3 linked regions of the Macaca fascicularis genome follow. The protein of the gene in region 1 interacts with the protein of each later gene in a pairwise test. Links are inferred from orthologs where the notes say so. Each region holds a gene or a part of one and is shown on either strand. Other genes may lie near its edges.

Region 1 (4,033 bases):
ATAAAGTTTTATTGGAACACAGGTACGCCCATTTGTTTGTGTAGTGTCTATGGCTGCTTTCGGCTATGAGCATGGCTGAATGGTTGTAGCAGAGACCACTGCCCTGCAAGGCCTCAAATACCAACTGGTCCTTTAGAGATAAAGTTTGTCGACCCTTGATTTAAAATACTAGAATGTAGACTCCTTGAAGGCAGAGACTTTTTGTCAGTTTTGTTCACTGCCTTACCCTCAACACCAAATAACAGTACCTGGCACTCGAGGGACTCTCAAATATCTGCTGAATAAATGGACAAACCAACCAACCAACCAAGTGAGGCGACTCCATGCCTTTGTGCACGCTGTTTCCTCAACCCTTCCTCCTTCTCTGACATCCTTCATGGCTCAACTCAGAGGTTCTCTCTAACGTGAAGCGTTCCTGTCCCCTCCAGCTCCCCCACAAGCAAACAGTCCCTTCTTCCTTTATACGTCTCTTCTTTTAGCACTCCTCACCCTATACGGAGATGATCTTTCTACCTGCTGTTCTCTAGGAGTTGCCTGGAGACAAGACCTCATCTTATTTGTGTCAGAATCACAAATGCTTGCACATCGAGCTCCCAAATGACTGCTCATTGAACATGTGGGTAGATGAATAAAGGAATGTACCAATGTCCGAGACTAAGAGAATGACCTGGTGTTTTCGGGTCGTACTATCTACTTCCTAAAGGTGGCGAAGAGACAGGTGGCTCAGAGGATCAACAGCCACCTCTGCAAAGTGCTCTGAGCTACTAAAAGCGCTGGAAAAACAGGCCAGGTGCGGTGGCTCATGCCTATAATTCCAGCACTTTGGGAGGCCGGGGTGTGCGGATCATGAGGTCAGGAGTTCGAGACCAGTCTGGCCAATGTGGTGATACCCTGTCTCTATAAAAAATACAAAAAATTAGCCAGGTGTGGTGGTGTGCGCCTGTAGTCCCCGCTACTCGGGAGGTTGAGGCAGGAGAATTGCATGAACCTGGGAGACAGAGGCTGCAATGAGCCAAGATCACACCATTGCATTCTAGCCCAGGTGACAGTGAGACACCATCTCAAAAAAAAAAAAAAAAAAGCTCTGGAAAAACCAAGACACCTTGCTTACTGGCTACCTGGTCCTCCCCAAGATATCTCCTACACCAGCTACCCCTGGGCCCAACACCCCCTACATTGGTTGCCCTGTGGCAACCCCCTGTCAATCCATACCTCATACTCAATGGCGAGGTCTGTGTGGTCATCAATATCCACCTTGGCCATCACCACCTTCCCGTGCTGCTTGGCCACCATCTTCTCTAACCTCGGCCCCAGGATCTTGCAGGGCCCACACCACCTCAAAAGGCGAGAAAGGAAGCATCCAGTCAGTCAAAAGACCGCTCAGCATCCCCTACTGGCTTCCCAGACCTGCATCTTTCCAAGGAATCTTTTGCCCTTATTATCTCTGTCTACCACGTTTAAAAAATAACAGGCCGGGCACAGTGGCTCACGCCTGTAATCCCAGCACTTTGGGAGGTCCAGGCGGGTGGATCATGTGGTCAGGAGATCGAGACCATCCTGGCCGACATGGTGAAACCCCGTCTCTACTAAAAATACAAAAAACGAGCCGGGCGCGGTGGCGGGCACCTGTAGTCCCAGCTACTCGGGAGGCTGAGGCAGGAGAATGACGTGAACCCGGGAGGCGGAGCTTGCAGTGAGCCAAGATCACGCCACTGCACTCTAGCCTGGGCGACAGAGCAAGACACCGTCTCAAAAAAAAAAAAAAAAAAAAAATTAACACACCAAATGGTAATGCCAGGAGATTCTGCACGTGGGAAATCTTCACAGATCCCAGACTTCTAAAACACAGGCCTCATCAGAAGACTCTTAGAATAAAAGTGACTTATTTCAGTATATTTCAGATAAATATACTGTCATATAAAAGAATATGGGATTGGGGCCGGGCACAGTGGCTCAAGCCTGTAATCCCAGCACTTTGGGAGGCCGACGCGGGTGGATCACGAGGTCAGGAGATCGAGACCATCCTGGCTAACATGGTGAAACCCCGTCTCTACTAAAAAATACAAAAAACTAGCCGAGCGAGGTGGTGGGCGCCTGCAGTCCCAGCTAATGTAGTCCCAGCTACTCGGGAGGCTGAGGCAGGAGAATGGTGTAAACCCAGGAGGCAGAGCTTGCAGTGAGCTGAGATCCGGCCACTGCACTCCAGCCTGGGCGACAGAGCGAGACTCCGTCCCAAAAAAAAAAAAAGAATATGGGATTGGAAGTTAAAAGGTTCAAACAGAGGCTCCTCACCAACCAGCCGATTATTCTGGGGTCCTAGTTTCTTCATCTGAAAAAGAGAGATTATGGCTCTCAAAGCTATTAGGAGAGATCAACTAAGGCAATGTGGGTAAACATGCGTTGGAAGCTGCGGGGTTATTGCAAACACCATGTGGACTCAGAACTAAAAGGAGGGGAACCAATGGCCAGGAGTGTCTACAACGCGCCAGTCCCTGGACAAGCACTTTTTCTGCTCTTACCAAACACATCCCTCAACTCTGCAAAGAGAACGCACCTTCCAAAGAAACTGAAGCCCATACGAGTTAAGAAACCAGTGCAAGATTAGAGAAGCACAGCCGGGATCGATCATAACCCAAAGCTGTGTTGAAAGTGTTTTCTTTAGCCGGGTGCGGTGACCCACGCTTATAATTCCAGCACTTTGGGAGGCCGAGGCAGGCGGATCACCTGAGGTCAGGAGTTCGAGACCAGCCTGGCCAACAACATTGTAAAACCTTGTCTCTACTAAAAATACAAAAATTAGTCAGGAGTGGTGGTGGGCACCTGTAATCCCAGCTACTAGGAAGGCTGAGGCAGGAGAATCGCTTGAACCTGGGAGGCGGAGGTTGAAGTGAGCTGAGAGATCATGCCACTGCACTCCAGCCTGGACGACAGAGATTCTGTCTCAAAAAAAAAAAGAAAGTGTTTTCTTTCACCCACAGGCTACTCTGTGATCCCACAGCCCCTGAGTTGACCACTATCACTGCCCTGATCACAGGTTCCCCTCTTGCTGGGGAAGCTCATCCAGGACAGGCCTGGTGCTGTCATCTCTATGTATGTGGCACCAAGGACAGTGCCTGGCAAAGAATGAACAACTCACACCCCACTTCCTTACCAAACAAAATGAGGCACTACCCCATTTATCGTGCATTTCGGAAGCCCTCTCTGGAATGCTCACTACACCAGCAGGACAAAACAGTTCCACCCTTCACAAACCCCTGGCTGACAACTCCTATTTTATTCTCAGCACTTATTTATCTATTTTTGAGATGGAGTCTCACTCTTTTGCCCAGGCTGGAGTGCAATGGCACGATCTTGGTTCACTGCAAGCTCTGCCTCCTGGGTTCAAGTAATTCTCCTGCCTCAGCCTCCTGAGCAGTAGGTGTGGTGGTACATACTACATCCAGTCAGGCCTGAGGGTTTTATTTATTTTTATTTTTTATTTATTTATTTTTTTTGAGACAGAGTCTCGCTCTGTCGCCCAGGCTGGAGTGCAGTGGCCGGATCTCGGCTCACTGCAAGCTCCGCCTCCCGGGTTTACGCCATTCTCCTGCCTCAGCCTCCCAAGTAGCTGGGACTACAGGCCCCCGCCAACCTCGCCTGGCTAGTTTTTTTGTATTTTTAGTAGAGACGGGGTTTCACCGTGTTAGCCAAGATGGTCTCGATCTCCTGACCTCGTGATCCACCTGTCTTGACCTCCCAAAGTGCTGGGATTACAGGCTTGAGCCACCGTGCCTGGTCAGGCCTGAGGATTTTAAATGCTGAAAATAGGCCAGGAGTAATGGCTCACACCAGTAATCCCAGCACTTTGGGAGGCCGAGGTGGTGGGGGGTGGGGGTCACCTGCAGTCAGAGTTCAAGAGACCCCTGGCCAATATGACGAAAACCCGTCTCTCCCAAAAACACAAAAAAATTATCTGGATGTGGTGGCAGGCACCAGCAGTCCCAGTTACTTGGGAAGCTGAGGCAGGAGAATCGTCTTAACTTGGGAGGCGGAG
Region 2 (4,033 bases), on another chromosome or scaffold:
AGGACATTATAAAAATCTACACATACTGGAAAGAATTACTGTTAATCAGTAGAATTCTTTGATACCCCGAAGGTACATATGAAAATTTTCTCTTAGATCCTTCTGAATTTCTCATTTAGCCAGCACTAACTGAGTACCTGCAGTATACTGATCAATATGCTAAGTAGAGAGATACAGATGAAGTATATGGCAGCCCTCACATTTAAGGAATTTATAGCTGTATTGGGTAGCCAAGATCTAATAGGCAAAAAATAAAGAATGGAAGAACTTTTTTAAAAGGCTCTTTGAAAGCAAGAAGTATGTCTTATTAGTCTGTCACTCCAGGTATCTAGTACAATAATAGGCCCTCAATAAAGATTTATTAAGCTCTCTATAAAAGTAACTGCCATTTATAGTAGACTCAGTAAGAATTTGCCAAATGAAAAAAAAATGTTCATAAGTGTATGGTAGAGTCTGTCAATGGTGAAAAACAAGTGTGCTGGATGAGCGTGGCAACACATGCCAAGGGGGTAGGACTTGTGTCTGGTGTCGAGTAGGCAGGACAGAACGTGAGAGCAGTGCTAGCAGAGGCACCATGCCAGGAATAAACATGTCTTTTGCTTAGTGTTGTGAAGGCAGCTGTCTGAGTAAAGCACAGTATTTCTGTTGAGACATTCTGAGACACAGTTAACTAGGTACATTGGAACATGGGAACAATATATGGGAGGTTAGGAAAAGTTCAAGGTTAGTCCGCATTAGAATTCCTTTGTAGATTGTTTAGAAAGACAAAAGTAAGAACAGTTGATCTAACCCCACAGTATTAATGATAGATTTCCAGAGAAGAATTCAAACGAGCTGGTTTTATCCTTTTTAAGCCACTGAATAATGTGAAGAAAACTGAACCCTTGAAATATGCCCATGTGCACATAAATGCATAATAAGCATTTTATTTAAAGTTTCAGAGGGTTCATGGAGTCTTCCCACCTTTTGAAGCTCATCCTTGGTCCCCTAGTTAAGAACCCTTGATCCAGAAGCAAAAAAAATCCAGTTAAAGGGCTGTTGTAATTAACTGAAGAGAATCTAAATTAAAAACAGAAGCAAGGAAGTTAGGGTAAAAGATAGCATATTCCAATTGTGCGCATTTCAAAGGAAGAACGTTGGTGACAGTTTAAATATGAAGAAGCCCTACAGGATTTTGATGTTGAGGAGCTTAAGTGAATGAATGATGATATTATCTGTAACAGGGGAAGATGGGAAGGGATAGCATAGAATTGCTGATCTTTCATGTCTACATTGACCCATAATTTGGTATACTTGCTGTTTGTCATTTACTCTTTGCCATCTTCCAGAAAGCAAAGAAGTAGGTCTGGAGGAGATGGCCATTGTATAGATTTTCCTTTGTACAATTATATTTATAAAGCTGAGTCAGGCACTAGCAATCAAGTATATTTGCAGGTATGTTAAATTTGCTATGAAACTTGAAATTCATGGGTTTTCTTTTCAGGTTTTAGAGCAATCTTGGCTGAACCTAAAAATAAAGCATCTGAATCCTCTGAACAAGATTATTATAGTAATATGAGGCAAGAGGCTTTGGGACATGAACCTAGAGTAAATATGTTTCCATTTGGTAAGTAGGCGACCTTTACTTTTAATAGTATAATGTAGTATATGCGATCTAACTTGGGTTTTAAAAAATACTCTGTTATCGGGCATCTATAAATTTCACCTAGTGAATAAAAATCTTAAATGTAGGGTTTTTTAATTCCTAAAAAGTGGATTATGACTCCTAAAGTTCTTAATATTTAATACTTATTTTGTTTAACTGATTTCTAATTATAGTTTTCTCTGTTTAATTACGCATTCCTCATATTAGAAACTATTGCCACTGCCACATATCACCGCCACTTTTTTGGGTGAGCTTCTGCCGCTGTACAGCTGACCAAAAACTTAAAAAGACATATGTAGATATCCTCTCAGTATGAGTCCTAAAATTTTGTCCCAGAACTACTGCTGCTTTAAAATTAGGGCTACAGAAAAGAGAGGAATGGTAAAAGTAGAAGCTCTAATAGAAAAAGGGGAAAATGGGTAATGAAAGTAAGGCCTGTGAATGTTATTTGACATAAACTTTCAGGTAAAATACTTGCCATATTTTTCAGTTTTGCATACTAAACTTATTTCTGTGAAATTAGACTATGCATTTCTTCGTATATTTCTGCATTAAAGGTAGGGGAGTGGGGAGAGTTGTCTGTTTTCTTGTCATTAGTCTCATCAGTAGTTCTGATGACCAGAAGCCTATTACAAAATACAGTGCTTTTATTCAGTACAATGGACTCTTTGTATTCTAGTATTTAAAATGTTAAGTGAATTGTTGGCTGTGTAGAAATCTAAAGATTTACTTTTTTTTATATTGTTGGAGAACAACAATCTGAATTTTCAAGTTTTGACAAGAATGACAGCCGAGGCCAGGAAGCAATCTCCAAACGCTTGTCAGTTGTATCAAGAGTTCCTTTCACTGAAGAACAGCTTTTCAGCATTTTTGATATAGTACCAGGATTGGAATATTGTGAAGTTCAACGAGATCCTTATTCAAATTATGGTAAAATAATATTCACATTTTTATATATATATATATATATATACACACACACACACACACACACAGAGTTTTGTTAAAATGGCTTTTCTCCAGTGGCACTTTTATGTCAGATATTGCTCATGTGAGAGGAATTTTATCTCTCCTTTTTCTCTACTTTAGACTTCAAAATATGATGATACCTTAATAAACAAAGCCCTGGAAATATATCTTCTTTTTACAAAATTATTCACTGTAAAATATATTTTAACTCCCACAAAATGTAACATTCTGTATTCCAGTTGCACAACAAAAAATGCCTCAGGATAGAGCCTCTGTCTCTGCGTACTCTTTTGGTTAATGCTAGACAAAGTTATGAAACTCACAAAGGTTCCTCCTCATTCATCCCTACATCTCTTTCTCTTAAATTTATATCCCTCCTTCTGTTCATTCCAAGCATCTAAATGCCCTACTTCTCTCTCTGCTTCTTCCAATTCTCAGTGGAAGCAAGACTCCAATATCAGCCATTTGAACTTATTAATTAGTTAATTGATTACACCCATTATCTAGCATTAGCTAACCCATCTTTGTGTTTTAAGCATTTGATTTTATTAAGGCTCTTTGTTAATGGAGGCATTGTGGCATAATGGGAAAGTTTGGCCTTCCATTTTGCATCAGAATCAAGTACAAATCCCAGCAGTGGCATGTAGCTTTGAGACCTTGGCAATTTGCTTATCCCCTCTGAGCCTCTCTTTGCTCATATGTAAAATGGGATCATTGACACTTTCTTTGCCAGGGTTGGGTAAGAATTAGAGATAATATATGTAAAATAACCTAATGCAAGTTCTGGCATGTAATAGGGCATTCAGTAAATCTAAGGTGTTTTTTTTTCTTTGTTAGTGAGGGGTGGTAGAGAAATCATCCTTGGTTGGCATTTCTTCCAGTTTTGTAAGGATACCTGATTTAGTCCTTTTAGAGTGACATGGCTGTTGACACAGAGGTAGTGATGTGAGTTTGGTCATGTGGACCAACACGACTAAGGTAACTCCACCCTTCATACAGACACCCCTACATACTCACTAGTACCTGACCCAGCACTAGTCTTTTTGTAGAGCTGTCTTTGAGCCATCCCCAACCTTAACCCGATCATATGTTGTCATTCTCCGTTCTAAGACTTCTAGGTACACATTTTTGTGTTCTCTGGCACATTTGTTATATGCATGTGAAGTTGTGTTTATTTTGTTTTGTTCCCTCCCTTTTATCTGGTATGTTGAAATGTATTTGTTCCTGTACCTCCTGTTATGTTTCTCTGGTTGGATGTGTCTGAAACATACGTGTCATTGGAACATCTTTTTATTAAGAGAGGTGTCATCATATAGTTCGAATCTCATTTGAATTAACTTTATATGGTCATTTGATTTCTGCATTTTATTTTAATTCCATTAAAATATTGGATGCTTGGGTTTCCAGATGAACATAAAT
Region 3 (3,673 bases), on another chromosome or scaffold:
TCATTGTATGTTCTTGGTACCTTTGTTGAAAATGAGCTCACTGTGGATGTACGGATTTGTTCTGGGTTCTTTATTCTACTGGTCTATGTGTCTGTTTTTATGCCAGTACCATGCTGTTTGGGTTACTTTAGCTCTACAGTATAATTTGACATCAGATGATGTGATTCCTCCAGTTTTGTTCTTTTTGCTCAGGATAGCTTTGGCTATTCTGAGTCTTTTGTAATTCCATATAAATTTTAGGATTTTTTTTCCTATTTTTGTGAAGAATGTCATTGGTATTTTGATAGGGATTATGTTGACTTTTTGTTTTTCTTACACAGACTTTCTCATATTTTCTTTTCCCTTTCTTTTTCCTCCCAGCCAGCCCTACTAAAGGGCTTAACAGTACGCTTGACAATGGCTTCAGCAGCACGCTTGACAATGATGTGGGAGGAGGTCACGTGCCCTATCTGCCTGGACCCCTTCGTGGAGCCTGTGAGCATCGAGTGTGGCCACAGCTTCTGCCAGGAATGCATCTCTCAGGTTGGGAAAGATGGGGGCAGCGTCTGTCCTGTGTGCCGGCAGCACTTTCTGCTCAGGAATCTCCGCCCCAATCGACAACTAGCCAACATGGTGGACAACCTTAGAGAAATCAGCCAGGAAGCCAGAGAGGGTGCACAGGAGGAACAGTGTGCAGTGCATGGAGAGAGACTTCACCTGTTCTGTGAGAAAGATGGGAAGGCCCTTTGCTGGGTGTGTGCCCAATCTCGGAAACACCGTGACCACACCATGGTCCCTCTTGAGGAGGCTGCACAGGAGTACCAGGTGAGGCCTTAGAGACACAAACAGGAGGAAAGAAGATGGGCCCTGGTGAGTGCTTTGCTTTCAGAGCAGGGAATGGGAGAGGACCACCTCTGGATTGGAGGGGTTAGAGAAAGGAGGAGTTTACCTCTCTCCATGTCTAATGTAGAAGGAGAATTATAAGCTAAACCCAACCTCATTCTCCAGGCGTAGGCGATATGCATGAGAAAATGCTGCAAGGATTACCCCACCCTATTACTTGGTTTGCATGGGGACTAATATGCTGTCTTTCTCTGCAGGAGAAGCTCCAGGTGGCATTAGGGGAACTGAGAAGAAAGCAGGAGTTGGCTGAGAAGTTGGAAGTGGAAATTGCAATGAAGAGAGCAGACTGGAAGGCAAGAATGACATCCTGAAGGGGATCTTAGGCTAGAAGGTTGGGCAGGGTCCAGGGTCCTCAACTCACAGCCTTAACTGTAGCTGTGCCTGTCTGAGCTGTGATAGAGTTGGTCCGTCTCACTCTCCAGAAAGCACCTGCTCTCTAGGTTTACAGATAGATGGGAATAAAAATGATGCAGGTTCAAAGGGGAGCTCCCCATCAGGCCTGAAGATCAAGAATCCTGGAAGAAGGTGCTGAGAGGATCTAGCTATACCCTAAAGTTTTGAGCTCCTCTGAGTCTAGTCTCAGAGGTGTGACGGCATCAGCACCTGGATGTCTGAGACAAATATCCTAGGAGAAACCCAACTGCTAGCTAAGCCTTTCAGGAAATGACAAGGCTGTGAGAAATAGACTTAAGGAAACCATCTGACCAGGTGGTTACTTGACCATGACCAGATCTCTGGTCCCAAATATAATGAAGAATCCATGTTTGTTCTGCACTGATCATTTCCAAGGAGACGTGGAGCATGTTGGGGATGAGAGGGGAGAGGAAGGAGCCCATCCCCAGTAGATCCCAGAAAAGAAACATTTGGGATTGAGGTAGGGTGTGAGTTGGGTTGTGGTGACAAAACAGACCCTCATGTCATCGAGTGACCTTCCAGTTACTAACAGGAGATGAAAAGCAAAGAATGTCCCCAAGCCCCCTTTCCCAGGACTTGGAGGTGGTGGTGTCAGCCTGGCTTTGTGAGGTTGTTGGAGGTGGGAACAGGTGTTTTTTTTCTCAGTAACTCACTGAGACAGGAAGACACAGGGGCACATTTGAGTGGTGACTGGGTTTGGAAGAGAGGTTGGAAAAAGTCCCCAATGCCGTATATCCATGTAGCTGTGGTTGTAGGCCAGCTACAATGTGCCCTCACCAAGTCCATTCCCCTCACTGTCCCGGAAACTTCACCTACCTCCCAAGCAAAATTGTGTGTGTGTGTGTGTGCACATGCTTGTGTGTGTGTGCGTGTGTTTTCCCAGACAACACCAGAGTGGAGTCTTTGGGGAATAGGAATAGGTACCAATACCTCCATTCCCAAAGTTTGGGAGCTTTTCATAAAAACCACCTCTCTCTTTCCCTTGACACTAAAGAAAACGGTGGAGACACAGAAATGTAGGATTCACGCAGAGTTTGTGCAGCAAAAAAACTTCCTGGTTGAAGAAGAACAGAGGCAGCTGCAGGAGCTGGAGAAGGATGAGAGGGAGCAGCTGAGAATCCTAGGGGAGAAAGAGGCCGAACTGGCCCAACAGAGCCAGGCCCTGCAGGAGCTCATCTCAGAGCTAGAGAGAAGGCGCCAGGGCTCAGCACTGGAACTGCTGCAGGTGAGACAGGGAGGGGTTCCCTTCTACTATTCCGGGAATAACTGAAAAAGACCAGAGCTATCTGGAACTGCCATTCGAATAAATGGACACCTGGTCCCTGGAATGTTCTTAAATAAAGTAGAATTCAAACCCACGAATGGTTTGCATTCAAGGCACAAAGTAAAGATGAAAATAAGTATAGGACCTTTTTAAAAATCAATGTATGTTGCACTTAGAATCATCTTGCATCCACCAATGATATGTTTGCCTCACTGTACGAAATGATGGACTAGATCGTCTCACAAGTCCCTTCTGTTCTAACATTCTACAGTTCTTTCTTCACCCCTGTTCACTGTGACTCAGCGTGGTCATGAGCCATTGCTTTCTGGTGTGTGCAGAAAACCTAATTGTATTGGGTTGACTTGACAGGCTCTCTTCTGCCCAAACCAGGCTTTCTTATTTATTTATTTATTTATTTATTATTTATTTATTTATTTATTTTGAGATGGAGTTTCACTCTTGTTGCCCGGGCTGGAGTACAATGGCGCGGTCTTGCCTCACTGCAACCTCCACCTCCCGGGTTCAAGCGATTCTCCTGCCTCAGCCTTACATCACCACACCTGGCTAATTTTGCATCCCTAGTAGAGATGGGGTTTCTCCATGTTGGTCAGGCTGGTCTTGAACTCCCAACCTCAGACTCCCACCTCAGCCTCCCAAAGTGCTGGGATTACAGGTGTGAGCCACCATGCCTGGCCATGAACCAGGCTTTCTAACATACTTTTAACTGAGTCTAGGATCCTGCTAGCTCCCATGTAATGGCTCCCAATCCCTATAACAAAAATATTTTCAGTGATTTGGTTTCACATACAGGAAGGGGCAACATTAAGTACCCAAGGGAACTTTAACTAACCAACCTTTCCTTCCCAAGCAATGCTAGCCCACAAATGGAACAGAGCAGTTTCTAGACACCTGAACTTGGCCATTCTCTGCCTGTGATTGGGCTTAAGCCAAGCTGGGCTATGTGCCCTCTCTGCCCTCCTTTCTTTCTCCCCTGGGGGAAAAAAATCTGGTCTTTGAGTCAGAGTCCTCAAACTGATAATCCTTCCCCAGCTGTAGGTCACATCCATGCTGGGCTTCTGGTTACCTCACAAGCATCCACACATCCTTTCTGCT

The links. The genes of interacting proteins can lie anywhere in the genome.
Region 2: the proteins of TXN2 (region 1) and RBM45 interact in binary tests that used the Homo sapiens proteins (3 or more experiments, as listed by UniProt). The two-hybrid records come from large-scale screens. The link is inferred for Macaca fascicularis from reciprocal best matches to the Homo sapiens genes TXN2 and RBM45.
Region 3: the proteins of TXN2 (region 1) and TRIM21 interact in binary tests that used the Homo sapiens proteins (3 or more experiments, as listed by UniProt). The two-hybrid records come from large-scale screens. The link is inferred for Macaca fascicularis from reciprocal best matches to the Homo sapiens genes TXN2 and TRIM21.

What each region holds. Positions count from the first base shown.
Region 1 is NC_088384.1:15,191,138-15,195,170, reverse strand, and holds part of TXN2 (thioredoxin, mitochondrial), read right to left. Parts: intron 1,337-4,033; coding exon 1,213-1,336; intron 1-1,212.
Region 2 is NC_088386.1:73,679,244-73,683,276, forward strand, and holds part of RBM45 (RNA-binding protein 45), read left to right. Parts: intron 1-1,483; coding exon 1,484-1,603; coding exon of another isoform or gene 1,604-1,606; intron 1,607-2,386; coding exon 2,387-2,575; intron 2,576-4,033. UniProt on the Homo sapiens protein: RNA-binding protein with binding specificity for poly(C). May play an important role in neural development.
Region 3 is NC_088388.1:70,006,827-70,010,499, forward strand, and holds part of TRIM21 (E3 ubiquitin-protein ligase TRIM21), read left to right. Parts: intron 1-360; exon of another isoform or gene 361-364; 5' UTR 365-396; coding exon 397-804; intron 805-1,079; coding exon 1,080-1,175; intron 1,176-2,290; coding exon 2,291-2,521; intron 2,522-3,673. UniProt on the Homo sapiens protein: E3 ubiquitin-protein ligase whose activity is dependent on E2 enzymes, UBE2D1, UBE2D2, UBE2E1 and UBE2E2.